Linked DNA regions of Stegostoma tigrinum. The protein of the gene in region 2 interacts with the protein of the main gene of each other region in a pairwise test. Links are inferred from orthologs where the notes say so. Each region holds a gene or a part of one and is shown on either strand. Other genes may lie near its edges. The genes, in order: appl1, fars2 and RCC1 and BTB domain-containing protein 2-like.

Evidence for each region.
Region 1: the proteins of fars2 (region 2) and appl1 interact in binary tests that used the Homo sapiens proteins (3 or more experiments, as listed by UniProt). The two-hybrid records come from large-scale screens. The link is inferred for Stegostoma tigrinum from reciprocal best matches to the Homo sapiens genes FARS2 and APPL1.
Region 3: the proteins of fars2 (region 2) and RCC1 and BTB domain-containing protein 2-like interact in binary tests that used the Homo sapiens proteins (3 or more experiments, as listed by UniProt). The two-hybrid records come from large-scale screens. The link is inferred for Stegostoma tigrinum from reciprocal best matches to the Homo sapiens genes FARS2 and RCBTB2.

What each region holds. Positions count from the first base shown.
Region 1 is NC_081364.1:53,769,032-53,779,182, forward strand, and holds the start of appl1 (DCC-interacting protein 13-alpha), read right to left. Parts: upstream 4,258-10,151; 5' UTR 4,196-4,257; coding exon 4,142-4,195; intron 4,121-4,141; exon of another isoform or gene 4,039-4,120; intron 3,745-4,038; exon of another isoform or gene 3,655-3,744; intron 1-3,654. UniProt on the Homo sapiens protein: Multifunctional adapter protein that binds to various membrane receptors, nuclear factors and signaling proteins to regulate many processes, such as cell proliferation, immune response, endosomal trafficking and cell metabolism.
Region 2 is NC_081355.1:11,435,017-11,445,198, forward strand, and holds the start of fars2 (phenylalanine--tRNA ligase, mitochondrial), read right to left. Parts: upstream 4,451-10,182; 5' UTR 4,298-4,450; exon of another isoform or gene 4,126-4,297; intron 1-4,125. Other genes in the region: LYR motif-containing protein 4, read left to right, coding at 4,462-4,547. UniProt on the Homo sapiens protein: Is responsible for the charging of tRNA(Phe) with phenylalanine in mitochondrial translation.
Region 3 is NC_081365.1:72,566,641-72,576,610, reverse strand, and holds the start of RCC1 and BTB domain-containing protein 2-like, read right to left. Parts: upstream 4,419-9,970; 5' UTR 4,292-4,418; intron 1-4,291.

The DNA.
Region 1 (10,151 bases), on a different chromosome or scaffold from region 2:
TAATTGAAAGTGCTGCTGACTGTACTGGTGCTGCCATTGGAACCGGGTGTGCTGCTGTGCGTGCTGGTGTCATCAGTGGTAATGGACATGCTGGTGGGTATGCTGGTGTCGCTCGTACTGGATGTGCTGCTGGGTGTGCTGGTATCATCAGTGGTAATGGATGTGCTGCTGGGTGTGCTGGTACTGCTTGTGGTATTGGATATACTGCTGTGTGTACTGGTATGACTGGAAGTGCTGCTGTGTGTGCTGGCGCTGCCAGTGGAACTGGGTGTTCTGCTGTGTGTGCTGGTAATATCAGTGGAACTGGACTTGCTGCTAAGTGTGCTGGTGTAATCGACGGTACTGGATATGCTACTGTGTGTGCTAGTGACGTCGGATATGCTGCTGTGTGTGCTGGAGTAACTGGAAGTGCTGCTGTATGTGCTGGTGTTGCCAGTGGCACTGGACGTGCTGCTGGGTGTGCTGGTATCATCACTGATACTGGATGTGCTACTGGCTATGCTGGTATCATCAGTGGTACTGGATGTGCTGCTGGATGTGCTGGTGCTGTCAGTGGTACTGGATATGCTGCTGGGTGTGCTGGTATCAGTGATACTGGATGTGTTGCTGGGTGTGCTGGTATCATCGGTGGAACTGGACGTGCTGCTGTGTGTGCTGGTATCATCAGTTTTACTGGATGTGCTGCTGGGTGTGCACAGGAACAGGCCCTTTGGCCCGCCAAGCCTGTGCCAATCCAGATCCTTTATCTGAACATGTTGCCTAATTTCCAAGGATCTATATCCCTCTGCTCCCTGCCTATTCATATATCTGTCTAGATACATCTTAAATGACACTATCGTGCCCGCCTCGACCATTTCCGCTGGCAACACATTCCAGGCACCCACCACTCTCTGTGTAAAGAACTTTCCACGCATATCTCCCTTAAGCTTTTCCCCTCTCACCCTGAAATCGTGACCCCGTAGTAATTGAGTCCCCCAATCTGAGAAAAAGCTCCTTGCTATCCACCTTGTCAATACCTCTCATGATTCTGTAGACCTCAAACAGGTTCACCCCTCAACCTCTGTCTTTCTAATGTAAATAATAAATAATCCTAATCTACTCAACCTTTCTTCATAGCTAGTGCCCTCCATATCAGGCAATCTCCTGGTGAATGTTCTCTGCACCCTCTCCAAAGCATCCACGTCCTTTTGGTAATGTGGCGGCCAGAACTGTACGCAGTATTCCAAATGTGGTTGAACCAAAGTCCTACACAACTGTAACATGACCTGCTAACTCTTGTACTCAATACCCCCTCCGATGAATGAAAGCATGCCAGATGCCTTCTTGACCACTCTATCGTACTGAGTTGCCACCTTCAGGGTACAATGGACCTAACACCCAGATCTCTCTGCGTGAACTCCCAGATCTTTCTGTGAGCACATTCATACTGGGATGACTTAATTTAAAGAACTGTTAGGTGATGGGGAACAGAGAGTGTTTTGAAGAGTGGGGACTCAACATTAAAGCAACCTGGGATGCATATCCAAAGTCTCCCAGGGTGGCAGGACCAGTTAAGAAGAAAATTAAAAAAGCTTAACGCATGCTTGATTTGACAAACAGTGTTATTTAATTAAAAAAAACACATTTTCACAGATCACTAGCTAGGCTTCAGCTAAGTATTATGAAGTTCTGGGCACCACACTTTTGTAAGGACATCAAGACCTTGTACAGGGTACTGAAGTGGTTCAGCAAGTAATATAATCCACAAGGACTTCAGATACATTGAGAAATTGGAGCAGTTGGGAATAATCTCTTCAGAACAAAGAATGCTAATCTGAGACCCAATTGATGTAGTTAAAATTGGCGTTTTGATAGAAGAAATAAGGAGATAATGGGTCGATTATTAAGGAATAGGTTTTGAAATTGTAGCAAAAGACAGGGAGGATATTAACAGAAATTATTTGCAGGGAAGGCAGAAAGTATACAAGGGGGAAGTAAATACAGAGTTATCAGGAAATATTTAGATAAAACAGGATATTCAAATGGACTACTAATACCAGCCAGTTTAGCTGATTAACCTGCTTCTGTGCTGTATATCTGTGCAATCTGGAATGCACTACTTAAAAGGGTGGTCACATCATATTCCAACACAACAGACATGCATTTGAAAGAAATTCACACGCAAGATTAAAAGGCGGCGGCCGGAGTAAGAGACAAAATCAGGCAGCTTTTCCCAAAGTGACATGGACATGGACATAGGAAGCTCAATAGGAACAGCAGGGTGTGGGGTATTTGTAGACTGATCGCTAAAGGTGGCAGGATTGGTTAACATGATAGTTGTGAAGGCATACAGAACAGCTGCCTTTATCAGTTGTGGCATTATTAATAGATGTAGGGAGATTTTGTTGGAGTTGTATAAAACTTTGGTTAGGCCAAAGTAATACTGTGTGCAGTTCTGGTCACCACACTGAAAGAAGGACATGACTGCACCATTGGGGGTGCAGAGAACATTCACCTGGATGTTAACTGAGATGGAGTATTTTAGTTATGAAGAGAGGCTAGATAAGTGCAAGTTGTTTTCTTTAGAGCAGAGAAAGAGGTGTAAGATTTTGAGGGGCATGAACAGGATGGATGGAAGGCATCAGTTCCTCTTAGTTCAATGATCAATAACAAGTTGATAGCAGAAAATTTAGAATAGGTATGAGGATTTTTTTTCACTCAGGGAGTGGTGGCATCTGGGATGCATTGCCTGGAAGAGTAATTGATACAGGAAAGCTCAGAATCTTTAAAAAGTACTTGGATGACCATTTAATGATATGACATTCAAGGCTATGGGCCAAATATAGCAAGAGGGACCAGTGTATGAAACAAAAACAACATTGCCTGAAAAACTCAGCAGGTCTGGCAGCATCTGTGAACTGAAAAGCACCAAAGCACTTAATGCTGCCACATAAATAGATGTATGTCTTTCTGTAGTAAGTAATATAAGAACCTCATATTTTTGATCTAAGAATGGCTTCAGTTTGCACCCAGGCAATTCCCATATGTTAACTGCAGAATGTTGTATTTGCTGTGTGTTATTTTGAATAATCTTTAAAGTATAACATTTTGGTGCTGCTATATTTAAAACAAAAAAAATCTTAGTTTACTGTTAAGGCATGACCTGTTCCCTATTGTTTGCAAGTTGAGTAGTTTAGAATTTCAGCACAGAGAAGGGTCATTCAGCATAGCATAGAATCATACAGTACAGAACCTTTATGACCTATTGAGTCTAAACTGACAAAAACTACTCAAAAGAACTGCGGATGCTGTAAATCAGGAACTAAAACAAAGTTGCCGAGAAAGCTCAGCAGGTCTGGCAGCATCTGTGAAGCTTAAAACAGAGTTAACGTTTTGAGCCTGGTGAAACTTCTCAGAACTGAAAGAGGTTCTCATATTACTCACTACAGAAAAACAAACATCTACTTATGTGGCAGCACTAAGCCTTTTGGAACCACGGAAATCTACTGTAATAAAAAGGAAATGTCACTGACAGCTTGCACACAGCACGATCCCACAAACACTGAGATTTACAATCAGAATGTGTTTTTAATGATGGCTGTTGAGGGTAAAACATTGCTTACGACATTAGAGGAGAACTCCCCACCTATAGCGACATGCGACATCTAGGCTCACCTGAGAGCAAAACGAACTTTGTCTCAATTGCCAGCTTTTAAGTGGCCGCCCAGTTTCCGCCAGCGGGATGTGAACCTTTTGACTGAGATCAGTAGGATCAATGAGCCACTGCTATCACAGCAACCTGAGCCCACTGATATACCCTTAAAAATTAAACGGGCAAAAGGCCGGACAATTATGCAGAGGTTGTCCAGAAAAACGCCGCTTTAGATTTGAGTAAAATACAGGCAGTACAAGACCAGCCTTCGTAACGTTTGTCTCTGATATCCCCGTAAGTTTCACCCCAGGTGTTCCTTATCATACAGCAGATTTTTTTTACTCAGTTCAACCACCGTTTCTCACGCCTCTTTAGCAGTGGACATTCCAATTAACATGAAGAGTTACATTAGAGGTGAGTGGGCCTTTGCCCGACCTGCTCAAAGGCTAACATCTGATCGAGTGTCAGCGATCCGCCTGAAACTGGAGGGTCGGCTGCATCGATTTGTACCTGCGGGCTATCTTCCAAGGTCTCCTCGATGGGCAGTTTTTCGATCCCCAACATCTCTGCGGCCTCCCCGCCTTTCGCTGCAAACTCCAAGGCGACGAGGGATGTCGGCTCGGTCAGAGAAGTCCCGCCTCCGTCGGCTTCGCCCACTGATTGGCTGTTTCCACAGCCACTCACCAACATCAACTTCCGTTGTGAGCAGCGGGTCCAGCCGCTTCGCAGGAGCCGGGAGGCTGATGATTTGGGTCGAGACCCTTCTTCAGAAGTGTAGGCCGAGGGGCTACGTTTGTGACAAAGTGGGTTGAGTTTCTGGTTTACTGCCCACGTTTACAAGTGCTTAAGTGATCTACAGGAATGGTTCGAGGGCTGAGATGTTCCAGTAGTGAGGTCTGGTTGCAGAAGTTGGGAAGGAAAACAGAAATTGCTGGAAAAGCTCAGCAGGTCCGGCAGTATCTGTAGAGAGAAATCAGTTGACGTTTTAGATCCAGTGATACTTCCGCAGGACTTACTTAGACAAGTTGGGGGATTGCTCTCTTTTTAGGGCGAAGAATTGTGAAGGGGCTGGATAAAGTAGATGGGGAGGTAAGGGCCAAGAATGAAAGGGCGTAGATTGAAAGTGATTTGCCAAAGGTGAAAAATGTGATTGAGAATAAAGCTTTTTCATAAACTGAGCATTTTGGTTGTGAAAGGAACGCAATGCTTGAAAAACTGAGGATGTCTGGCGGCATCAGTGGAGAGAAACAGTTAACGTTTTGGGTCTGTAATGACTTTAGAATTGGAAAGCTGTGAGAAAATGGTTGCTTCTTTTGGCAGAAGCAGAGGTCCGAAGCAAAAGTTGTTAAAGGTGCAGAAACAGAAAAAGAGCTGTAAAATGTATGGAAATACCGGAGTGAAAAGGAAGGAACAGGTCTGCTATACTAAGAGCAAAGAAGACAGAGGGTATGAAATGCACTGCCTGTAAGTGTTCTGGAAGCAGGTTCAGTTGAGCCATGCAAAAGGAAATCAGATGATTATTTGAATAGAAATAATATGCATGGATATGGCTGATAAGCATGAAGCTGGCACTAGCAATGATGTTCCTTTGAAGAGCTGGTTAAGACAAGATGGGCCAATGACTTCCTTTTGCACTGTAACACTTCTGTGATTCTTTGCAACATATCTCCACATAAATTAGTGTCAGCCCTGTACAGAATGCTTTCTCTGTATATACTGTTTAGTGCTAATGAAAACAGCTCATGTACTCTGAGCACTGTGGGACATGCTGAGGGCACGACCTGAGCAGAACTTCTGCAGTACAATCAAAACCTTTCCAACTTGATTTATGTGAAGTTTGGAGTAGCAAGAACTGCTATAGATAGGACACTCCCTCCAACCTTGTGTGTAATACAGCCCTTTTTAATGTTATTTGTGGCATGTTGCTGTCACTGGTATGACCATTATTACACACTTTGGGATTCAGTTAGTCACTTGGTGTTAGATAGGGAGTTTCAGAACTTTGCCTAAGTTACAATGCTATAGTTTCAGTCAATGATCCAAACTTATTCTGCTATTCTGCTTCTGCCCCTCTCTTTCTCATCTTCTGTTTCTGCCACACTGGTCCTGCTTCTGTTTCTCATCCTGTGTTTCTCATTTACTCTTTAAGATTCCCTATTTCTACTCTCTCAAACGAGAATGAGAAACAGTGAATGACAAACAGAGGGGCAGATAGTGGCAGAAACTGATGGACAGATACAGAGAATGTTTCTGCCCCTCTGTTTGTCATTCTCTGTTTCTGCCGCTATCTTTCTGCACCCCCCCCCCCCGCATTCTGTCATTCTCTGTTTCTGTCCATCAGTTTCTGCCACTATCTTTCTGCCCCCCTGTTTGTCATTCTTGCTGAAAAGGAGATACAGAAGATGAAAAACAGAGGGGCCGAAACAGTATAAGGAACAGCATAGCAGAAACAGAGGATGAAATACGAAGGGGTAGTAACCGTGGATGAGAAATGGAGAATGAGAAACAGAGGTGAGAAACATGGGCAGAAACAGACACATGGAAACAGGTGCAGAAAAGGAGGATGAGAAACAGTGGTACAGAAACAGGATGAAGAAAAGAGGTTGAGAAACAGAGGGGCGGAAACAGAGAATGAGGCACAGGATGAGAAACAGAATCAGAAATACATGATGAGAAACGGGCAGAAACAGTGGCGCAGAAACAGATGTGAAACAAAGGAGCAGAAACAGAGGAGGAGAAACAGTGGAGGAGAAAGAGAGAATGTGAAACAGAAGGGCAGGAACAGGGGATTGGAAACAGGGGCACAATCAGAAGCTGGCAAACAGGTGCAGAAACAGGATGTGAAACCTGAGGGGTAGAAACACAGGATTGGAAACAGGATGAGAAACTGAAGGGCAAAAAGGAGTATGAGAAACAGAGGTGCAGGAAAAGAGAATGGGAAACAGAGGATGTGAAACATAAGGGCAGAAACATTAATGAGAAAGAATGAGAAGCTGTGAATGACAAACTGAGGCGTAGAAAGGGAGGTTTTGAAACAGGCGCAGAAATTGAGGATAAGGGAAAAATTTTGTGAAACAGAGGGATGGAAACAGAGAATGACGCTCAAGAACAAGAAAAAGAGGATGAGAAACAGTGGTACAGAAATGTAAGATGAGGAAAAGAGGTTGAGAAACAGAGTGGCAGAGACAGAGAAAGGCGCACTGAGGATGAGAAACAGAAACACAGAATGGGAAATGGAGTGGCAAGAAACAGCAGTGCAGAAACAGATATCCTGGAAGAAAGGGGCAGGAACAGAGGATTGGAAACAGGGGCACAGTAGGAATCTGGCAGATAGGGGGGCAGACACAGGATGTGAAACAGACATGCCAAACCCAAGGGCCAGAAACACAGATTGAGAAACAGGTGCAGGAACAGAGGATGTGAAACCAGATGGGCAGAAACACAGGATAAGAAACATAGGGGAAAAATAGAGAATGAGAAGCAGAGGATGGGAAACACAGAATGTGAAATAGAGGGGTAGAAACAGAAGATTGGAAACAAATGGGCAGAAACAGATGGCGAAAAAGGTGAGGATGAGAAACAGAGGATCAGAAACAGGGGGGAATAAAGTAAGGAACAGAGGAGAAGAGACATAGTAGGAACTGCAGATGCTGGAGAATCTGAGATAACAAAGTATACAGCTAGATGAACACAGCAGGCCAAGCAGCATCAGAGGAGCAGGAAAGCTGACGTTTTGGGCCTAGACCCTTCTTCAGAAATGGGGGAGGGGAACGGGATTCTGAAATAATTAGGGAGGTGTGCTTGGGCTGGAGGGGAGTGTGGAGTAGACAAGGAAGTCATGGAGAGAGTGATCCCTCCGGAAAGCAGATAAGGTTGGGGAGGGGAGAAATATCTTTTGGTGGTGGGGTTGGATTGCAGATGGCAGAAGTGTCGGAGGATGATGCGTTGGATCCGGAGGTTGGTGAGGTGGTACGTGTTGATGAGGGGGACTCTGTTTTGGTTGTTATTGTTGGGAGGGGGTGTGAGGGATGAGTTGCGGTGAAATGTAGGAGATACGGTCGAGGACGTTCTTGACCAGTGAGGGTGGGGAAGTTGCAATCCTTTAAAAACAAGGGCATCTGAGATGTTTGGGAGTGGAATGCCTCATCCTGGGAGCAGATGTGGTGAAGGCGAAGGAATTGGGAATAGGGGATGGTATTTTTGCAGGAAGGTCGGTGGAGGGAGAGTTCGAGGTCGCTGTGGGAAGTCGGTAGGCTTGAAATGGATATCAGAAATGTGGGAGACATGGTCGAGGGCGTTCTCAACCACTTGGGGGGTGGTTGAAACAGACTTGGAATCAGAGGGGCAGAAATAGTCACAAATTGAAGTGCAGAAACAGAGGACCAGAAACAGAAACAGACTTTGAGAAATAGAAGGGCGTAAGATGAGGATGAGAAACTGTGCTGCTGAAACAGAGAATGAGAAACAGACAGAGTAACAGAAACATAAGTTTGGAAACAGAGGGGCAAAAACAGAAGATGACAGAGCAGCAGAAACAGAGGATGTGACACAGTCATGTCAAGCCATAGGGGCAGAAAGAGATAATGAGAAACAGACAACCAGAAACAGAGGATGTGAAACCGGAGGGGTAGAAACATAGGATTGGAATCACAGGCACAGAAACTGAGGTGTACAAACAGTATGTGAAACAGAATCAGAAACAAGAGGATGAGAAACTGAAGGGCAGGAAGGGAGGATGAAAAACAAAGAATGTAATAATACAGTGGGGCTGAAACAGGAGCAGAAACAGCGAATCAGAAAGGAGTTGAGAAACATAGGGTCAGAATTACAGGATGAAGAACAGAAGAGCAGAAACTGAAGCAGAGGGGCTGAAATAAAGAATGGGAAACAAGGATGAGAAACAGAGCGGAAGAAACAGTGGTGCATACCGAGATAATTAGAAACAGTGGTAGAACGAGAGGATGAGAAAAAGAGAGGGGCAGAAATTGAGGCACAGCAAGAGAGGTGCAGGAACAGAGGGTCTGAAACAGCTGGGATGAAATGGTAGGGCTGAGTCAGAGGACTGGAAACAGGGGCACGAGCAGAAGTTGGCAAACAGAAGGGCAGAAACAGTGGATGTGTAACAAATATGCAAAACCACAGAAGCAGAAACAGCATGCAGGGAAACCCTCATGGACTTGATGCAATAACAAGACACTGGCCTGTTTAGAAAAACAAATCCTTTATTACAAAGCAAGTACAAGCTGTGGAGGATCACTGTACTCAGCCTGGCACAGAGTGCAGAGTCTCCTGAGCGGTGGACTGTCCTCGCTTTTTATACCTTATCGAGCGCATAGTACATAAAGCAATTTTACATCTCACAATGGCGTGATACGTGAAACAATCACTACATCAGACAATTACATGACGCACAAACAATTACTACATCGAAACCATAAAGAGAGCAGGATACAGTATTGATCGTTTGTGAAGTGACTGCTAATGGCAGGAGGCGATTTCAGGTTGCCAAAGTGTCTGGCTTGAACAAAAGTCAGTGCCTTGGCTCCTTTAGCAGAAACAGAAGTTACATACTTTACAGGATTTCAGAAGTCTCTCACCTTTACAAATGCTTCCGACCTAATCTTATTTGAGACAGTTTCTACATATCCCTGTGCAGGAAGATAAAGACTTACAAAGTTTATACCTAATTCTATTCAGGCAGGAAGCTTAAGGCAGTGTCTTTCTACCTATGTGTAGGAAGATAAGGATTTACTAAGTTTTACACCTCATTCCAGTTGGGCAGGAAGTTTTAAGGCAGTGTCTGCATACCTCTGTGTAAGCAGATAAAGAGCATTAATTTATAGCGAATATGGAAATCAATGGGATGTTATCCCAATAACATGTCAATGGGGAAATGGAGCGTGGCGACAGGAGCGTGGGAAACAGGGCACGGGAAACAGAGTGTGGGAAACAGGGTATCGCAGAGCGCAGGAACCGGAGTATAGAAACGGAGTGTGGGAAGCAGAGTAAGGGATAATGGTGCATACCGATTGCCTCACTGTTATTCTCAAAACAAAATGACAATATTCTATGACTTCGGAGAATACTTATACTTTAATCTAATCCTCCTTCTGCATTTTCTGCAGAAGATTGTATGGCAGGTGACTTCAAATGTTAAGTGTAGTGTGTTGTTATTAACTTTATTGTGATTAATTTGTGTTCAGGCTATTCATTGGAGTTGGTGGTGGAATATGAACCACTGCTGTCATTAAAAAGAATGAACTGAAATTGATCATTGCTGTCGAGTTTTTGCATTTGTCGACCATGTGGTTGCGTTTATTCAGATACTGTACCTTTTATATCCTGTGGTTTCTTTTGAAGGCATAAATGTATTACTTTTCCGTGGGTATCAAATGCCGTTTCCCGAGCCAGGTCATGTTGCCAGTCCTCAGATGGTTGCAAAGCTACTCAATGTTTTTGTAAAATGTCAATGTCTATGCTCCTCTGCCAACATCATTTGAATCTACTGCCAGTGGTTTTC
Region 2 (10,182 bases):
TTTACCAAGGAGCAGAAAAAGAATAGAAGTTAATTAGATGAAGTGTTCACAGTCCAGAATGGTTTGCAAAAAAATAAATAAAGGACACAAACGTAAGATGATTAGCAGAAGAACCAGAGACCACAAGCAAACATTTTTGTCACTCATCATTTCGCACATACCACAGATAGAACATAGAACATAACAGCACAGTACAGGCCCTTCGGCCCTCGATGTTGTGCCGACCTGTCATACCGATCTAAAGCCCATCTAACCTGCACTATTGCACGTACGTCCATATGCTTATCCAATGACGACTTAAATGTACCTAAAGTGGGCGAATCTACTACTGTTGCAGGCAAAGCGTTCCATTCCCTTACTACTTTCTGAGTAAAGAAACTACCTCTGACATCTGTCCTATATCTTTCACCCCTCAATTTAAAGCTATGCCCCCTCGTGCTCGCCATCACCATCCTAGGAAAAAGGCTTTCCCTATCCACCCTATCTAACCCACTGATTATCTTATGTGTCTCAATTAAGTCACCTCTCAACCTTCTTCTCTCTAATGAAAACAGCCTCAAGTCCCTCAGCCTTTCCTCGTAAGACTTTCCCTCCATACCAGGCAACATCCTAGTAAATCTCCTCTGCACCCTTTCCAAAGCTTCCACATCCTTCTTATAATGCGGTGACCAGAACTGTACACAATACTCCAAGTGTGGCCGCACCAGAGTTTTGTACAGCTTCACCATAACCTCTTGGTTCCGGAACTCGATCCCTCTATTAATAAAAGCTAAAACACTGTATGCCTTCTTAACAGCCCTGTCAACCTGGGTGGCAACTTTCAAGGATCTGTGTACATAGACACCGAGATCTCTCTGCTCATCTACACTACTAAGAATCTTACCATTAGCCCTGTACTTTGCCTTCCGGTTACTCCTACCAAAGTGCATCACCTCACACTTGTCTGCATTAAACTCCATTTGCCACCTCTCAGCCCAGCTCTGCAGCTTATCTATGTCTCTCTGCAACCTACAGCATCCTTTGTCACTATCCACAACTCCACCGACCTTAGTGTCGTCTGCAAATTTACTAACCCATCCTTCTACGCCCTCATCCAGGTATTTATAAAAATGACAAACAGCAGTGGACCCAACACCGACCCTTGCGGTACACCACTAGTAACTGGTCTCCAGGATGAACATTTCCCATCAACTACCAGCCTCAGTCTTCTTTCGGCAAGCCAATTTCCAATCCAAACTGCTATATCTCCCACAATTCCATTCCTCCGCATTTTGTACAATAGCCTATTGTGGGGAACCTTATCGAACGCCTTGCTGAAATCCATAATTTCCTTAATAATAATTTCCTTACTTATTCTCAGTCTGAAAAATCAGAATATATTTTGAGACACAGTACATCAGTATACTTTTAAAAGATGAGCTTGTGATATCATCATTGTATCATAGAATATGACCTAATTGTATAAACACTGCATACTCCACCTTAAGTAGATCACTTGAAGTATGAATTGCTACTACAAGTATGATGCTCAGCTATAACATTAGTGTAACACTTATCTGTAACTCTTACGTGTTTGTAATTCAATAATTATACATGATAACCAGTTGAAATAAGCATCTATTGGATCCTTCAACAGTACACTCCGTTGAGGTTGTACTGGATCTTGGATTTGGATTTCTGCTGCTTTGGACAGTGGATGTTCAGGCCAATTCAGATTGGGTCACTTGGAACATAAGAATAAACTAGTGAGCAAGCAAACTAACAAATACATTTATGCATCATCCAGATAAGTCAATTTCAACTGAGTAACAAAAAAAAAATGCCATGCACATTCAAAAATACCCAGTTTCTGGACAATTCTGGTTTGTAGACTGCCAATTTTGAGAATGTCTACTTGTAATTATTTAAATCTAACTGTCTTTGTCAATGAATTGATCAAAGTTGGGAAATGAGAATGTCCCAGATTTACAACTTGAGTGAAAACAGCACATGAATAATTTATTACACTGTTTAGATCTACAGAATGGCTGTAAATTGGGAGAGGGGAGTGTGCAATAGGACCTGAATGTTCTTGTGCACCAGTCAGGTAAGCATGTAGGTGCAACAGGCAGTAAAGCAGGCAAATGGTATGTTTGCTTTCATAGCGAGAGGTTGAGTGTAGGAGCAGGGAAGTGTTGTTGCAGTTATACAGGGCCTTGGCAGGACCACACTTAGAACATTGTGTGCAATTTTGGTCTCCTTTTCTGAGGAAGTCACTCTTGCTCTCAAGGGACTACAGTGAAGGTTACCAGGCTGATTCCAGGGATGGTGGGACTGACAAGTGGAGAGATTGACTAGATTAGGATTATTTTCGCTGGAATTCAGATGAGCGAGTTGGGGGGGGGGGGGAAAGAGGGGAGAAGAGGAGATGTCATAGAGACTTTTAAAATCTTAATGGGACTGGACAGGGTAGATGCAGGGAGCCTGTTCCTGATGGACGTGTCCAGCACAGGGGTCACAGTCTAGGGATTTGGGATAGACAGAGAATGGAGATGAGGAGATACTTGTTCACCCAAAAGTGATGAGCCTGTGGAATTCATTACCACAGGAAGTAGTTGAATGTACTCAAAAGGCAGCCAGATATAGCAGTTGGAGTGAAAGCAGGATTAGGCTCTTGAGTTGGACAATCAGCCATGAACGTGATGATTAGCAGAACAGGCTCGAAGGGTACAAATGACCTCCTCCTGTTCCTCTATGTTTCTCATCATACTTTGGAAACAACAGAAGGATTTAAATGGATTTCTCCTATGATAAGATCAGTAGGCTATTGGGACATGGAGTGATCTGTACAAAAATGTATAGAGACTAAGTGTATTGCTAATTTTATTACTCCAAAACAAATTCCCTCTCAACTCACTTGGTGGCAGTCACTTATTATCAATACTACCAGAATTCCTGCTCCATTAAAAAAATCTCAATAGAGCCGTGGTAACTGTGTAGATGTGACCAATGCTGTGTGAGATTAAAAAGGCAGCATATATTTTATATTAACTAACTTATAGATCAAATAGCTATTGACAAGCAAAACCTCATAAGAAAGCTCTAAGGGAAAACTCTTTTCAAGCACAAATGGCAATATTTTGAATAAGTGCTTTGATTTGTGTACAAGATACATGTGACTAAGAACAAGGTAACACAGAATTTACACCAGAGAAACTGGTCTGTTTATATCACACATCTCCCACATTTCAAACAACATTGACTCCATATTATGCAGAGATAGTAGGAATTGCTGACGCTGGAGAATCCGAGATAACAAAAGGTGTAGAGCTGGATGAACACAGCAGGAAAGCTGACATTTCGGGTCGAGAAGGGTCAGCTTTCCTGATCCTCTGATGCTGCTTGGCCTGCTGTCTTCATCCAGCTCCACACTTTGTGTACTCCATATTATCCAATTGGCTTGAACACCCACAGTCCAAAGAACCTGACCAGAAATCCAACAAAGTCTAAAATCTGACGTAGCCTTAGTCTTGAGATTTCTGGTTGAGTGAATGTATTTGTGCTGTGATGAAAGCAGAATTGTCACCTTTTGTTAAGTACATACCAGCTACATCATTTCTACATATCTTTCTACCCGCTTTTGTCGTACACACCCTCCTCTACCCCCATAATCCTGCAAATCCCAATTCGTGGAGGAATCTGTCTCTACCACTCTTTCAGATAAAAGGTATTCCAGACCCTAATGAGCCTCCCGGTGTGAAAACGTTGCTCATTGCCATCCACTTTATTTTAGTTTCAGATCTCCAGCACCAACGGCGTTTCTGCATTGTTTCGCGTCCTTTTTGTACAGGCTGCGTCACAGCCAAAAATGAGAGATCGGAGGAGCGCTCAAAAGTTGCGTGCATGAAGAACAAAACCTGATAACGATTATTAACCCTGCCCAACAGCAAGTAACTGTGCAATGAATTGCATTCCTCGAGACACCGGACGTGGTTCCCCGACACGTCCCTTCTATTTTAGTCTCAGGATTATAAAAGAGAACTCCTTTTTGGAACGATGACCTTGTTTAAAAAAAAAGGAACCACCACGGGCATATTCTATATCCCTGTGCTCTTAACATGCACAACTTCTCACGAACCAACTCACCTTCTTTGCAAAGATACAACAGTGACACCGTCCCTTCCTTGACCTCTTTTTTCCCCTCCCACCACCTCAACAACACAAATTGACAATAGTAGGACACTGTCTTGCCAGTCGAGAGGAGAGAACAGTTTTATGAAAATAAAAGGTGTTAGAGAATGCGAACAGTGGATCCTACTTTTAGGATTTTGCAAGGCAAAAGCAGAACGGACGTATTCAGTTTTGTTTTGAATCCTGAACGGTCGAAGGTTCCACAGGACAGCCGTTGCCTGCACAACGTTCCATTTCAGGCACGCGCGCCCAGCCACCGGGGTCCTGCGTGGTAAAGACCGAAGAACGAAGATGGCGGTGCCCACAAGCAGTCAGGTCCTGTCTTTATACAGGTTGATGCTGAAAGAAAGCAAGAAGTTCACCAGTTACAATTATAGGTAAAAAGAAGTAATTTTGTTTTCCGCCAGGGAATGTTGATATTTGCTACGTACTTTGCTTATCAATCCCATGTCACACTCCTCCATCCCACTTAAGCCGCAATTTAATTTCAACCACTGACATTTTATTTATGTAGCCGTTCTTAATGCGAGAAAAACGGGCAAAAACGCAATCAAAAGCTCGCGCGCGCGCGCGCACACACACACACACACGGGAAAAAAAAATCTCAGGCAAAAGCGAGATTAGAAGCGGCGAACAGAATTTAAGTTTGATATAATAGGAACTGCAGGTGCTGGGGAATCCAAGATAACAAAGTGTGAAACTGGATGAACACAGCAGGCCAAGCAGCATCTCAGGAGCACAAAAGCTGACGTTTCGGGCCTAGACCTAGGCTCTCTGATGAAGGGTCTAGGCTCGAAACGTCAGCTTTTGTGCTCCTGAGATGCTCCTTGGCCTGCTGTGTTCATCCAGCTTCACACTTTATTATTTAGGAAAGCTGACGTTTCGGGCCTAGACCCTTCATCAGAAATCTGAGAGATCGGCTTTAAAGAAAGGTTTGAAAAAAAGGGATCAGTGGGAGATCCACAAAATGTCAGACCTGACCAGGGATAGGTGTGTTTCTGGCTTTGGGTCCTGGATAAAATTCAGAAACACTGGGTGAGACCATGAAGGGATTTCAAACCAAGATTGAGAAGTTGAAGGTGGAAGTGTCAAGAAAGTCATATGTTTATACATTGTCTTTCATGATCGTTGGAAAAAAATCAAAATGCTTTACAATCAATTAATTGTTATGGGAATGTAGGTCACCAATGCCAGACTAAAGCTTGATTAAGATTTTGTGCTGAATAAGATAGAGTTGCAACAACAAGAGCTGAGGAAGGGGTCACCTGATGAAAAACGTTAACTCTGATTTTTATTTTCTTCACAAATGCTGCCAGGCCTGCTGAGCTTTTCCAGCAACTTCAGTTTTTGTCCCTGATTTACAGTATCTGCAGTTCTTTCTGTTTTTATTTAGGATACAATCTCCGGACTTTTAGATGTATTATTAAAGTCAGTCCTTTTACAACACACATATTTCCTCCAGCCCTTCACACACTCACTGGTCATCAAGCATTTATCTGCTCATTCAGAGATAGTAGGAGCTGCCGACTCTGCAGTCTGAGATAACAAGGTGTAGAGGTGGATGAACACAGCAGCCTGGGCACATCTTGTTTTTTAAGCACTTGGCCCATAGCCTTGTATGTTACGCCTTGCAAGTGTTTATTGAAATACTACTTAAATGTTGTGATCGTTCGCACCTTTACCACTCATTCAGGCAGAGCTCTGGATACCCATCACTAATTTGGTGAAAATGTTCTTCCTTGAATTCCTTCTAAACCTCCTGTCTTTTAAATCTAAACTGCTCAATTACTGAACCCTCTACTAGGAGAATTTTCTTCCTTTCGAACTTTCTATACCTCATAATTTTGTATTTATCAGTTAAGCCCCTACCTGTCTTTTGTCCTTTAAGGGAAACAACCCCAGTCTATCTAGTTTCTCATCATAGTTGAGACGCTCCAGCCCAGCCGATATCCTGGTGAATCCTCTCTAGAGCATTCACATCCTTCCGACAGTGTTGTGACCAGTACTGCACACAACAATCCAGTTGTGGTTTAACTAACATCTTTTGCAGCTCCGTCAAAACTTTTCTGCTCTTGTATTCAGCATCTTGACACATAAAGACAAGTATCCCATGATTTCCTAACCATTTCATCTACCTGTACTGTTGTCTTCAAGGATATGTGACATGAACAAAAATCTGTGTGATCCTCTGTACTTCTAAGTACATTGTGTACTCCCTTGCCTTGTTTGTGCTCCCAAAGTGCATCACCTCACTTTTCTGGATTCAATTCCATTTGCCACTGTTCTTCCCTTCTGACCAACCTGACTGTATCATCCTGTGGTCTAAGGCTTTCCTGCTCATTTACCACACCACCAATTTTCCTGTCATCTGTAAACTTACTGATCAAACCTCCTACATTCATGCCTAGATCATTAATGAGCACTATAAACAATATTGAACCCTGTGGTACAGGAGTGTATGGGCTTTTACCTTCTTGACCAGGATACTGGTATGACATATCCTGTATGACATCTTGTCAAAAAATTTACTGAAGTACATTTAAAGTGCACAAGCTGCCCACTGTCATCTCCACACTTATTAACCACTTCAAATAACTCAAATCAGACTTGTCAAATACAATCTCGCCTTGACAGACACATGTTGACTATCCTTAATTAATCTTTGTTGGTCCAAATTGAGATTAATTCTGTCCTTCAGTATGCTAGCCTTGTCCTCCTAGGTGGTAAAGATTGTCAGTTTTGGAAGGTGCTGACAAGGGAACTTGGGAACTTGCTGCAGTGCATCTTGTTCTTGATGATCAAGACCCATTAGTTTATTTGCAGCCAAGTAATATCAAACATCTAATAAAACAAGACAAGTCAGTTAACAGCAATGTGCCTTTACCTAAGAAGCATAGCCTCAAAAAAGGTGTCACAAATTTAGGAGGGAGATGACAAATTTCTTTACTCAAATGATTCTGAATTCTTGGAATATTCTTTCTTTTAGAGGCTGAATATGCACAGCACTGGTTCAAAATAAATATTGAAAGGTTTTTAGAGGATTAAGGGATTTGAGAGATACAAGAATAGTGCAGGTAGACAGAGTTGAAGTAGAGGATCAGCCACAATCTTATTAATGGTCGGAGCAGCGAAGAATGGCCTGTTTTTCTGTTCTGAGCAGAGAACAATGTCCCAAGAAAAGCATTTCGAAAGCTGAAAGCTAGGCTAGCTGAAGACTTGGCCATTAATGCTGGTGTAATGAAAATTGAGATACATGAGCATTATCAGAGTGCAGAGACCCTAGTTGTAGCACTGGAGAAGATTACTAAGATAAGACGTGCGTTGAAGGCGTTTGAATACATTGAGATTTTAAAATATTGTGATGATATTGGATAAGAAGCCAAGAATTTTACCAAGTTCAGTGACATGTAAGTGTTTCGGAGCTTTGGATGAGCTCAAGATGGAGTCAATGATATATTGTTGCTTGTCATGGGGTCTCCTCACACTGCTTCCCCTCCTTGTCTTGGCTACCAGAACTGGTACAGTACCTGCAAATTAGACACAGGAGCAGTCTATTTGGTCCCTTGAGGCTTCTGTTAATCAGCAATACCGTGGCTGATCTGATGAAATGAAAAAGGCTTCTATGCCTACGCTCAACAAAAAGGACAATGCTTAGACATATTTAAACAGATTCCTACCAGGCTTTGACTACAACGCTCTGCATCTTCGTCCTCGTCACTACTACCTTTCACCTCTGCCTCCACCATTTTAAGTTAGCTTTCAGTTTTCAGTTCCAACTTCTGAAGTTCAAAAAGTCTCCCTTTCTTCTCATTTGTTTTTCATCTGTTTTCGATCTTCATATTCAGGCTGCATCAGTTGTGATTGATTTTTAGCCATTTACAATTTCCGATTGCATTTCTGGCAATTGTAAGTATCGAGCTATTGCTGCAATTACCTCCCCTTTCCTCATGGGGAACGCAATTTCAACTCCAACTTGCCTGCCAATTCCAAAAGTTGCACACCTTCTGTAAACTACCCCAAGTGACTTCTTCCACACCAGGAAAATTTAACCTCTGAAAGAGCCATTATTACACAAGGCACACCCTATTTGAGCGAACTCAATTCAATGCCCAAAAAGGGAACACCGATTCACTAACCCTAAATCCTAAGTTTAATGGAGATGTGCGAGGGACGTTTTTCACACAGAGAATGATAGCAGCTGGAATGCACTGCCAGAAGAGGTGACGGAAGTGGGCACATTGAAAACATTTAAGAGGCACTTAGACGGGTACATGAATAGGGAAGGAATAGAGGGATACAGATCGAAAAATGGCAGGTTTTTTTTAAGATTAATTACAGCATGATGGTCAGCACCAGCTTGAAAGGCCAAAGGGCCTGTTCCTGTGCTCTACTTTTTCATTTGATCATTCATTTGCCTATACCTGCTGTCTTGTGATTTTTGACCTTGTCAGTCCCAGTCCAACACCAGCACTTCCACATCAGTGAGGGATAAGGGGCTGTGGAAGAACAAAGGTATTTAGTGTCTGTCTGCAAAAATCAAGAAAATCTAACATGTAAGTATGCAAAACAAGAATATTGTCCTGCTTGACTCTGCAATCAACCTTATCAAAGGCTGAACATACTTGGCCTCAATGCCTGTTATCCAGCTCAGTGAAATAATGCTTCCTCCAGTTCTTACACTTTAATGATTCATTTGGTTATGATTAAGTGTTGTACATACATTATCACAAAGTAAGTTATGAAAGTTCTTTGTATTACAGTCACAATGTGATCTGGATGGTTGAATCTTCTTCCCAGTGCAATCCTACTGCAGTATATTTTAAGGCTTTTTATTAAGTTAGTTTTTATCTCCCAGGAAATCTATTGTACTGCTCATGTGTAATCATTGTTCTGCAACACTGCAGTGCTGTACCATCTCAAGGTGCAAGAAGGACACTAATTCCCTTGACTTCAGGTTGATCTTGGAGTACAGCATTTATAAATAAGGCTGTTTTTAAACTTGCTTAATTGTGGAAGTTGACCCCTGATGCTGAAAAGCAGTTATAATCTATAACGCCTTTGGTGTTTGCTGATTTGCTGTAATTGCATCAATATGTTAGATTCTAGGAACAAGGTTATGTTCATTAATGACTTGTTAGTACTATTGTTTTCTCTTCTCTTGTGTCCTTTCCCATCTCAGTGGATAATTAAATGGTAGTTTGCTGTGACTTGTGCTGTGGGATCTTTTCTATCCATCTTGAAAAGGCAACACTGGTGTCAGTTTAAAACCAAATCCAAAATATGGTCTCTCCAACAGTACACCATTCTCTCACTACTAAACTTATGTGCTTAAGTTGTGGACTTGAATACATAATCCTTTGACTGAAGTGTTATCCTCTCGCATAACTCCACTTTGGTTCAAAACCCTCAAAGTACTTCTCACGATAAATGTGGAAAAAGCCCATTAGCCAAACTTTAAAGCAATTGCTGTGCACCTGCTCCCTGCAATATGAATAGACTGATTTCCAGAACACAAAGCAACTTCAACACTATTGTAGAATTAGTTTCATTCATGTACTTAGTGACATTTCACCTTCATTTACTCTGCTTTCCCATTTGGAGTAAGGGATCAAAATTGGAAAGATGTCGTATATTAAAGACTAGATAGAAGGTTAGAGAGTAAAATAGTTTATGAGAAACGAGGGTGCAATGATGGCAGGAATGGAAAACGAGGGGAAAAAAATGGAATATGATAACAATCAAGATAAAAATTTACGAAAATATAAAACTAAAGGCTGTATACATAGTGAATTCATTACAAGTATTGAACTAAAATATGATCTGATCACCATTACAGAGACATAGCTGCAGGACAACAGCAATTGGATCCTCAATATACAGGGTTATCTGACATGTCAGCTAGAAAGCTTGAACTGTTTGCCTTTTTATTATGTAATGTGACAGGATTAAGCCAAGATCTCGAGTAAGGGCACCACTCGATAGGTGGATCTGCAATATAACTGGATTTGCAAG
Region 3 (9,970 bases), on a different chromosome or scaffold from region 2:
ATTCTTTTTCATCTCTTCTAAACTTCCTGATCTATAAAACACATTTACAAATGTACTGGAAGCCCACAAATCCTAGGGACCATTTTAATTTGCTCTCCTCACAAATACCATCTAAAGGAGTGTTATGTGACGGGATTTAGCTCCTGCATGCCCGTTCCAGTGCCTCAGACAAAAAAAAGGGTAGTTTATTATGAACTTCACACATAGGAATGGCCTCTGCACTCAAACTAACTGAAGAATAACAAAACTTCTATTTCAAGATCCCAACATGTCCCAAAGGTCTTTGAGACCAAGGAAGTATTTTTGAAGTATAATTACAATTATACTTTAGGTTGGTTAACTCAGCTGGCTAGAGTGTGGTGCAAATGACACACGGGTCATGGGTTCGATCTCAATGCTGACCAAGTTGGCAGGATTCCAGCCACAAATTGAGGTTGCATCTGCTCCTTCATGTGGCTAGAGTAAGTAAAGTCGCTAGAGCTGGTGAGTTCTTTTTGAGTCCTGCTAATATTAATCCTTCAAACAACATTACTTTAAAACATGTGTGTAGCTGGAGGAACACAGCAGGCTAGGCAGCTTCAGAGGAGCAGCTGACGAAATGTCCTCTGATGCTGCCTGGCCTGCTGTGTTCCTCCATCTCCACACTTTTTATTATCTCTGACTGCAACATCTGCAGGTCTTGTTATCTCTCGCTTCAAAAAAAAGGTTGTTTATCTCATGATTTGTAAATACTGTTGTTGTTGTTTGTGCAAATTGGATGTCAAGTTTCATAGAATCCCTATAGTGTGGGGACAGGCGATTTTTGGCCCAACAGGTCCACACCGCCCCTCTGAACAGCATCCCACCCACACCCATTTCCCCTAACCCTACATTTCTCCATGTCTAACCCACCCAACATAACATCCCTGGGCAGTATAGGCAATTTTAGCATGGCCAATCCACCTACCCTGCACACCTTTGGACTGTGGGAGGAAATTGGAGTCTATGTTTGGGAAGTTAAAACCTGATTACAACCTTATTATTCCTGCAGCTATCTGCCATCTCCTTACATATTTGCCCCTCAATTTCCCACTGACTATTGAGGAGCTTACAGTACAATCCCATCTCAAAGTGATCGTCCCTTCCTTATTTCTCTATTCCAGCCATATACTTCACTGGACAATCTCCCAGGAATAATCACAGTACTGGCGTGCTGTTTCCCCAGTCAAAAACACCACTTCCCCTCCTCTCTTGCCTCCCCTTCTAGCGTTCCTCTAGCATCTGTACGCTGGAACATTGAGCGACGGACAGGTCTGGCAGCTCAGTCATGTTTCAGTAATATCTACGATCCCCCAGTCTCACGTTCCCATCCATCCTGAGTTCATCTGCCTTACCTGTCAGGCCCTTTACATTGAAATAATTGTAGTTTAATTCATCAGTTTAATTCCTTGCTGAGCTGTTGCCTGGCTTATCTATTTAGCTATGTTCCCTTTAACTTCTGCATCAGTCTCAACCTTCTCTCGTCTCACTAGTGCTTATGGTACCACACCATTGGCAGACTAGTTTATAACCCTCCAGAGCAGTGCTAGAAAATCTCCCCGGCAGGATACTGAAGCCTCCCTTTCAGGTGCAACCCCTCGCTCTTGTACAGGGTACTTCTGCCCCAGAAAAAATCCTAACGGTCCAAAAATCTGAATCCTTGCCCCCGGAACCAGTCCCTCAGCAACGTATTCATCTGCCCTATCCCCCTTTTCCCTCTCTCACTTGCATATGGCACTAGGAGTAATCTAGAGATTACTAGCCTTGAAGTCTTGTTTTTTAACCTCCTGCCTAACTCCCTATATTCATTTTGCAGGGCTTCATCCCTTCTTCTACCTATGTTGTTGGTACCAATGTGTACAAAGACCTCTGGCTGCTCATGCTCTCCTTTGAGAGTTTGCTGCAACCACTCCAAAAATGTCTTTGACCCTGGCACCAGAGAGGCAACACACCATCCTGGAGCCTCATTCACGGCCACAGAAACGCTGTCTGTGCCTTGACTAGAAAGTCCCTTATCACAACTGCTCGCTTGCACCTTGCCATATCCTGCTTTACTGCAGAACCAGTCGTGGTGCCAAAATACCAGGCTCCTGCTGCTGTTTTCCCCCACAACAGTATCCAAAATAGTACACTTATTTGAGAGGGGGATAGCCACAGAAGACTCTTGCACTACCTGCGTACCTCTCCTGGCAGTCTCCCGTCTATCTGCATGAATTTGCAGTGTGACCACCTCCCTGAAACTACAATCTATCACATTCTGTGCCTCATGAATGCTTTTCAGTGTGTCCAACTGCTGCACCAACCAATCCATTTGGTCTTAGAGGAGGTGTAGACAGACACACTTCCTGCAGATGTAGTCGCCAGGGAATCTTGACCACTCGCTAATCTTACACTTTGGACAGGAGGAGCATACCACTCCACTGATTGTCATCTCTGCCCTTTTAATAACTACCCAACATAGTAGAAACGAACAAGATCTTACCCTGCCATTACCTTATTGCTGCTCACCCTCCTCAACCAAGGCTAGTGTTCATCTAGGCCCACTATTAGATTTAACCCGCAGCACCTCGACCCCAAGGCTTGCAAAAATGGTCAAAAAAAAGACAGTAATGCCTCCCTCCCATTGCATCTATTTCTGGTCACCACATTTGGGGAAAGTGGTTAGGGTCCTTGACAAAGCATAGAGATTTAACAGAATGGTTCTAAGGATATGTTCTAAGAACTTTAACTACAAGGCTATGTTGGAGAAGCTGAGGTTGTTGCCTGACAGCAAGAAAGATTTGATAGAAGCGTACAAGGCTATGACAGGTTTAGGTAAAGCACATAAAGAAAAGCTGTTCTCATTAGGTGACAGTACAAAGGCTAAGGAATATAGATTTTAAGATTTTGGATAAGCAGTGCATGGTATGAAATTGTGGTCGTGTCAGAAAACCTCTCAGCATCTCCTTGATCATAGAACATTTCTGTGATGCAATATCTGAAATGTGATGTTTAAAGAGGAGATGAGATGTGATGTACTTTGGTCGGATGAACATTGAAAGATGATTCAAATTAGGGAGTACAATTCTATAATGAGTTCAGGAGAGAAAAGGGGCCTGGATAGTATGTGTGCGCAGATCATTGAAGGTTGCAGGACAGCTGGGAGGAGCAGTTAATAAAACAGTGTGTTTTTGACTCTATCAATGGGGCAAGATGGTGATGTTGAACTTGTACAAACTGCTTGTTAGACTTCAGCTGGTCTATTATGTAGAATTGTAGATGCCACATTGTACGAAAGATGTAAGCACGCTGAAGAGAGTGTGGAAGCAACTTACAAGAATGGCGCCAGGAATGACAAACTTCAGTTCAGGACATGTTGAAGAAATTGGGATTATTCTCCTTCAAGAGAAAACTGAGTGGGTATTTGATAGAGTTCTTTGACACCGTGAGCAGACTGGACACAGTTGTTAGGAGACATTTCCAGTCGTAAAAGCAAAAAGAAGAAGGGGGCATACATTTAAAGTGCTGCACAAAGGAAATATTTCTCACAGCAAGCAGTTAGGGTATGGAATGTACTGCCTTGAAATGTAGTGAAGGCAGGTTCATATGTTGCATTTAAGACAGTACATGATGATGCAGATATACACACCATTCTCTAATTGAGGAACAATAATAAGTATCCAAAAAGCATCAAACTACAGGATTTTGTCTACTGAGAAGCATACTCAAACAGTATCCCAAAAGCCCTGCATCCAATCATTTAGCTACAATCACGATTCTATTACCAGACAAAACCATTAATCGTCAAGAAAGATGTTTTTTTGAGGGTTAGGAGATAAGCTTACTTTGGATTTCTTTTTTGAGGGAGGTTGCTAGTTATCTCCACTTTAAAATTTTTCAAGGATATAGTGCTACTACTTCGAAAAACACTAGCATTTGACCATTGCCATATTCAGCCATGGCCAAATATGAGCGGAGCCTGCATTCTATACTTGGCATACATTCTAGAACACACTGGCAGCTGCGCGGAGGCTAGACATGTCCTGGTGATCTTTATCACTTATTCCTGGTGATCTTAGTAAGCTTTTAATGTATGAAGAAAATATTAGGACAGGTAGAAATTCTCAACCACACAGTAATAATAACTTCTGCCGATTACAATATGAACAGAATATTTATGCTTCTGAAAGCTCTTTTATGGAAGCCTATACTGTATCTTTACTAAGCAGATTGAGCAAAAGATTTTTTTTTTGTCAGCCAGAGGAATTGTACATCCCGCATTTACAAAACTTACATTTGGACCACGTAAACAAACAAGCTTCAGACAGGCCCAAAAGCGTTTATCGACTCGATTACTCTTCCTGTTTCCAAGGCTATACCAATCGAGTGTCCTGTGAAACTGCAGAGACCAATCAGGGTCCAAGAGCCGCCCTCACGCGCCGGGTTTGGAATGCTACCGCGTTGAGCCGAGCGCTCGAATCCTAACTGTCACTGTCTCGAGACGAACAGCCAGCGACATGTCCATGCTGAAGGACTGACGGATCAGCGGCTTCGAGGGGCAGTGCATGAGGCGACAGCAACATCCGCCACCGTCAGCGACGCTGGAGCAGCGGCAGGGAGCCTGACTTTTTAAGACAAGAGCATGACCATTGTATTACACGCGATTCAAAACAGGAGGGTCGTGCTGCTCAACTCAGAGGTGTAACAAATCCCTCAAGAGAGTTGGAAAGAGGCCACCTCAGCGCCAGGGATAAACATACCGTGGCTGGGTTGCAATACGGATATAAATTTGACGTGACAGTAAATTCTGCTTCTTACTTTTTTAGCGTGAATTACTTATTACATCTCAGAACGATTTTCGACTAGTTGCACCAACCGCTTACTTTATCTCCCACACTGCTGCTAAACGACTGTACTGCTCATTTGACATGAAAAATAGATGTGAAGGAATAACCTCCAATTAAATATTGGGAAAGCAGATGGAGTAAGCACAATTGCAAGAAATGCCCTTCGATCAGAAGATATAGGATACACATGGGTGGAGATAAGAAATAACTAGGTGAGGAAGGCACTGCTAGGAATAATCTATTGGTCCCAAACAATAACTGTGCAGTGGAACGGAAAATAAATAAGAAGATGATGAGGGATTGTCAAAAAGGCAGTGCAATGATTGTGGGTAACCTAAAACGGTGACCATACGTGGTGGAATTTAGCATTCAATTTCAGAGTGCAAAACTGCTAAGTAGAAATAGGGTTTTTCTGAGGAAGGGTCTAGGCCCGAAATGTCAGCCTTCCTGCTCCTCTGATGCTGCTTGGCCTGCTGTATTCATCCAGCTCTACACCTTGTTATCTTAAACACAAATGAATCCAGGCAGAGCTAGCTGGTCTGGACAGGAATTCAGGTTTAAAAATAAGTTTGACGAACAACCGCAGGCATTAAGCAAAGTAGTTCATGGCTCACAGTAAGTATATATCCCATTGAGGACGAAGGAATCTTGGCATAAGCCAACTATGGTTCACCAGGGAAGTTAAGGATAACATCAACGTGAAAGAAAAATGCGTGCAATATGTCAATGCTCAGTAATAAACCAGAGGATTGCCGTTTTGCACCTACACCTTATGTAAAGGACAGAGTCACCATGACCTGTTTGAAATCTCCCATCTAGATCTCCCAGTCCTCTCCTACTCACTATGATCTCTGATTGCTTCTTATGACTGTCATCATTCCCTCAGTTATCCAGTACAATGAAGCCATCCCTCGAGTTGCTTGGCATGCCCAGGACTCCATGATCTACCCCTGATAAGTCCTCTGACCATTACAGGCCAAATCCCCAGGATTGACCATTGCCAACTCCCAAACCTGTTTGGTAGAACATCCCTGACTGACCGTTTCACCGTCCTTCAACTGACATCTCCGTAGTGTCCCTTCTGATATACCTGTAATCCTGACAGTTTCACTTGAATTCCTGGGCTGCAAAGACACTGATCTCCAGATTCTCTTAGAAACAAGCATCGTATTGACAGCGACAATCCGGTTGTAATGTAAGTTAATTATGTGGAGCCTGCTAATGACTTATTTCGCCCTTGACCCCATTAAAGACTGATCTCCTTTGACTTTCACACCTTGTGTGTTTCAAGCAAAGGGCAATGTATTTACTGCATAAATTGCTGATACATGCGACAGCTCTGATATTGACATAGCATGGTGTAGCAAAGTGACATGTCCACCCTCTATCCGATTGAAGATTGATTGTTCAGTGTTCCACAATGTCATTAGCTGCCAGCCTCTCACATCATGCTAAAAAGCAAAGCAGATCACAACATCTGATAGCCTGTAAGTCAGTGCTGACATTGGTTAGTGTGCACTAAGAAAGTAATGTGAAGTAAACAGTCTGACAGGAACCAAGTAAGTGAAATGCGTGAACATGAAGAAACGACTGAGTTATAAGATGTGTTTGTTTGTGTCAGTGTCAAAGCATCCTGTACAGCTGCATTTCCCTGCACCCAAAGCAACCTGGTAGAGGTGTGCAAGTCATAAGTGTCCAAAGTGCTGTCCGGGAGCAAGCATGATGTTGTGCTGAGGCCGCTGGTTTATTGATGCTGACTTGTATGGGTGAAGAGTCAAGGAGAATGGTGGCCATGGTGAATGAGGGGCATTGTTCTGGAAGAAGCTGTTGCATGATAACCAGGAGAAGCATTCAGAAAGCAGCAGCTGCCAGATATCTGCTCTAATTTATATGTCAGGAATTTTTCCATCTAGTTTCTCAGTGGAGCACTGGTAAAACAGGAAAAAATAGTGCAGTTTGGAATTTTAATGAGACAAATGCATGGAAATAAGGGAGTTAACACTCAAAGTTGAGATTCTGAAGTCGCTTTTTGAGTTTTGAGCTAATAATCAGACAAGCCTTTCTTGAAGTCGAAAATCTTGGGAATTATTTATCATTGTATTTTCCCACTTTTCTCACCATTGCTTTTGCTAGGAAGTGTAAGATTCTGCCCAAGGTTTCAGCCAAGCATACCATATGACGACAGAAAATTTAGTGAGGCCCTTCTTCCTCCACGTCCGCATCAAAACAGAGTGATTAGCTACCAACATCTGCCCTGCTGTCACCTCCGTAATACATACAGACAGGCATGTTCGTTTAATCAGCCTCTTTCATTCCACACAGTTCAGCTATCTTGGGAAATCAGAAGCAAAATACAGCAGGTACGACAGCCTGATTTGGTCTGTGAGTGAGTCACCAACCCTATTCTCCCGTTACTGTTACCTAATTAAAAAAAAATCACACTTTACTAACATTTTTGTTAAAACTTACAGTTCTAATAAAGTCAATTCCTCTACATCCAACTGGAATAAACTGATTCTAGAATGAAATAAAACCAGGAGTGGCTGGAAAGCTCAGCAGATCTGGCAGCATCTGTAAAGAGAAAACAGAGTTAATGTTTTGGGTCCGGTAACCCTTCTTCAGATCTGATTTCTCTTCATAGATGCTGCCAGACCAGGTGAGCTTTTACAGCGTCTTCTGTTTTTGTTTCTGATTTAGAGGATCCTCAGTTCTTTCGGTTTCTGGGATTAAACTGTTTCAGACTGTATTAAGTAATAGTTATAAAGGTTACAGCTTCACTAATTTACCTCTTCCTCACACCCTCCATCACCAATCAAGATGTAAGAACAACTTCTCCTCAGGCTCCAGTTAATTTTTTCAGATCAAATGGCATGTTGACCCACCATTCTATTTTTCAGTGCACACCAGGTTCCAATATGGGCTAAGGCACTGAAACTCACATTGGTAAGTTGCCTAATGAAAACCAAAAGAACTGCGGATGCTGTAAATCAGGAACAAAAACAAAGTTACTTGAAAAGTTCACCAGGTCTGGCAGCATCTGTAAAGAAAAAAACAGAGTTAACTTTTCGGGTCCTGAGGAAGGGACACCGGATCCGAAATGTTAACTCTGTTTTCTTCCTTCACAGATGCTGCCAGACCTGCTGAGCTTTTCAAGCAACTTTGTTTTTAAAGTAAGTTGCATACATGACTTATCTAAATGATCTTGAAATGAAGAAAGTAAATTCCAGGAATCACACCACAGAAGGTTAGATTGGATCCATTAGAAAGATTAAATGGGAGAAGGATAAAATGGGGAAAGAGTAAATCAATGACTCACACATTGAATTTGTTAATGGTGTGAACATCGAGCAGGACTGGATGCTCTGATTCGCAGTCCTTCCGCTTACTCTGTAAGCCTATTTGCAGTCACTTCACAGTTTGGGATCTGCTGGCTTACAGTGGGCACAATGTAATTAAGTTCTTGATAACAAAATAGTTTTATTAAACCATGAAGTCCCAGAAGTGAATTTTAACGAATGGTGATTGGTGGAATGGGGAGCTGGTAACACTCTCAGTGACCACTATTTGATAGTACACTAACTGATCACTCAATAGACCAGTAGCTGACCATTCAATATTACACTCGTTGATTGGCCAAGAACAGACTGGATTACTTTCTGAAAGTAAATTGGCAGTTTGCTCAATAACACATTGGCTGTCTTCCACATAGTGCTGACAGCATGTCTGATGCAGCTTAAGGACTGGCCTTCATTGGCATCAGTTTGGCAGGATGTGACTGGTACAAGAATGTCCATCGGGCAGTTCACTGCATTGTGCTGGTGAAAAGAATTGTTAAGTGTAGCAAGTCAGGTTAGTTTAGAACATCACAGAATCAAGTAAAAAAGCTGCAAGGAAACATAAGTGTAAAGTACTTTTGTCCATGCAATTAAAAAGGAGAATATATTCAAATACACTTTTGCCTGTTTATACATTTCTGCTTAACATTACAATACATACTAATCAATAATTAATAATAAATATTAATCACTTGGAGGCAGGAAGCCTATGTACACTAGCCAAATTTGGAGGTGACACAAAAATAACGGGAAAGAAAGGTTATGAGAGGGATACAAACAGTTTATACTTTAATTAAGTGAGCAAAAGTTGGCAAATGGAGTATAAGGTGGGAAAATGCTCATTTTGGAAGGTTGAACAGACTATTAGCTAAATGGAGAAAAAGTGCAGAATACTGCAACCCTGGACTTGGGAGTACTTGTACATGGAACACAGTAAGCTAGCACACAGGTGGAATGTTGGCTCGTACTTCAAGAATATAAGGGCAAACAAGCCTTACTGCAACTGTACAAGGTGCTGGGGAGATCACATCCAGAGTGCTGTGAACAGTTTTGGTCCCCTGTTTAAGGAAAGATGTCATTTCATTGGAAGCAGTTCTGTGAAGTTTCACTCGGATGATCCCTGTTAAATAGGGATTGTCCTATGAGCAAAAGCAAAACAAGTTGGGTCTCTACTCACTGGAGTTTAGAAAAATGACAGGTGATCTCATTAAAGCATAAGATTCTTAAAGGGCTTGACAAGGTAAGTACTGAGAAGATGTTTCTTCTCTTGGTAGAGTCATGCACCAGAGGGCATAGTCTCAGAATAAAAGGGAGCCAATTTAAGACTGAAATGAGGAGGGATTTCTTCTCTCAGAGGGTTGAAAATCTTTGGAACTAGATTCTTGATTAGAGAAATAGATTCTTGATCAGTCAGTGAATCACGGGTTACAGGGAAAGGGTAAGGAAGTGGACATGAGGAACATCAGATCAGCCATGATCCTTTTGAATGGCATAGCAGGTCTGAGGGCTGAATGGCCCTCTCCTATTTCATATGATCTTGTGCTGATGGGTGCCAAACAAGTGTGTTTGCAGAGTAGATGCCATGCAGGGCTCAGGGTAGGTGTATGTGAGCGATGGAGAATGATGCTTGCAGTAATGAGAGAAGGAGAACTTGAGCCTTTCTGAGAGCAGAATGCAGAAACAGAAATAGTGTGTGAGGTAGCAGTGAGAATATGGTTGCTCTTATTCTGGCCAAGTTGAGAAGGCCAATACTGGACATTCTTCCACATGGCTCATTCCACACTGACCCAG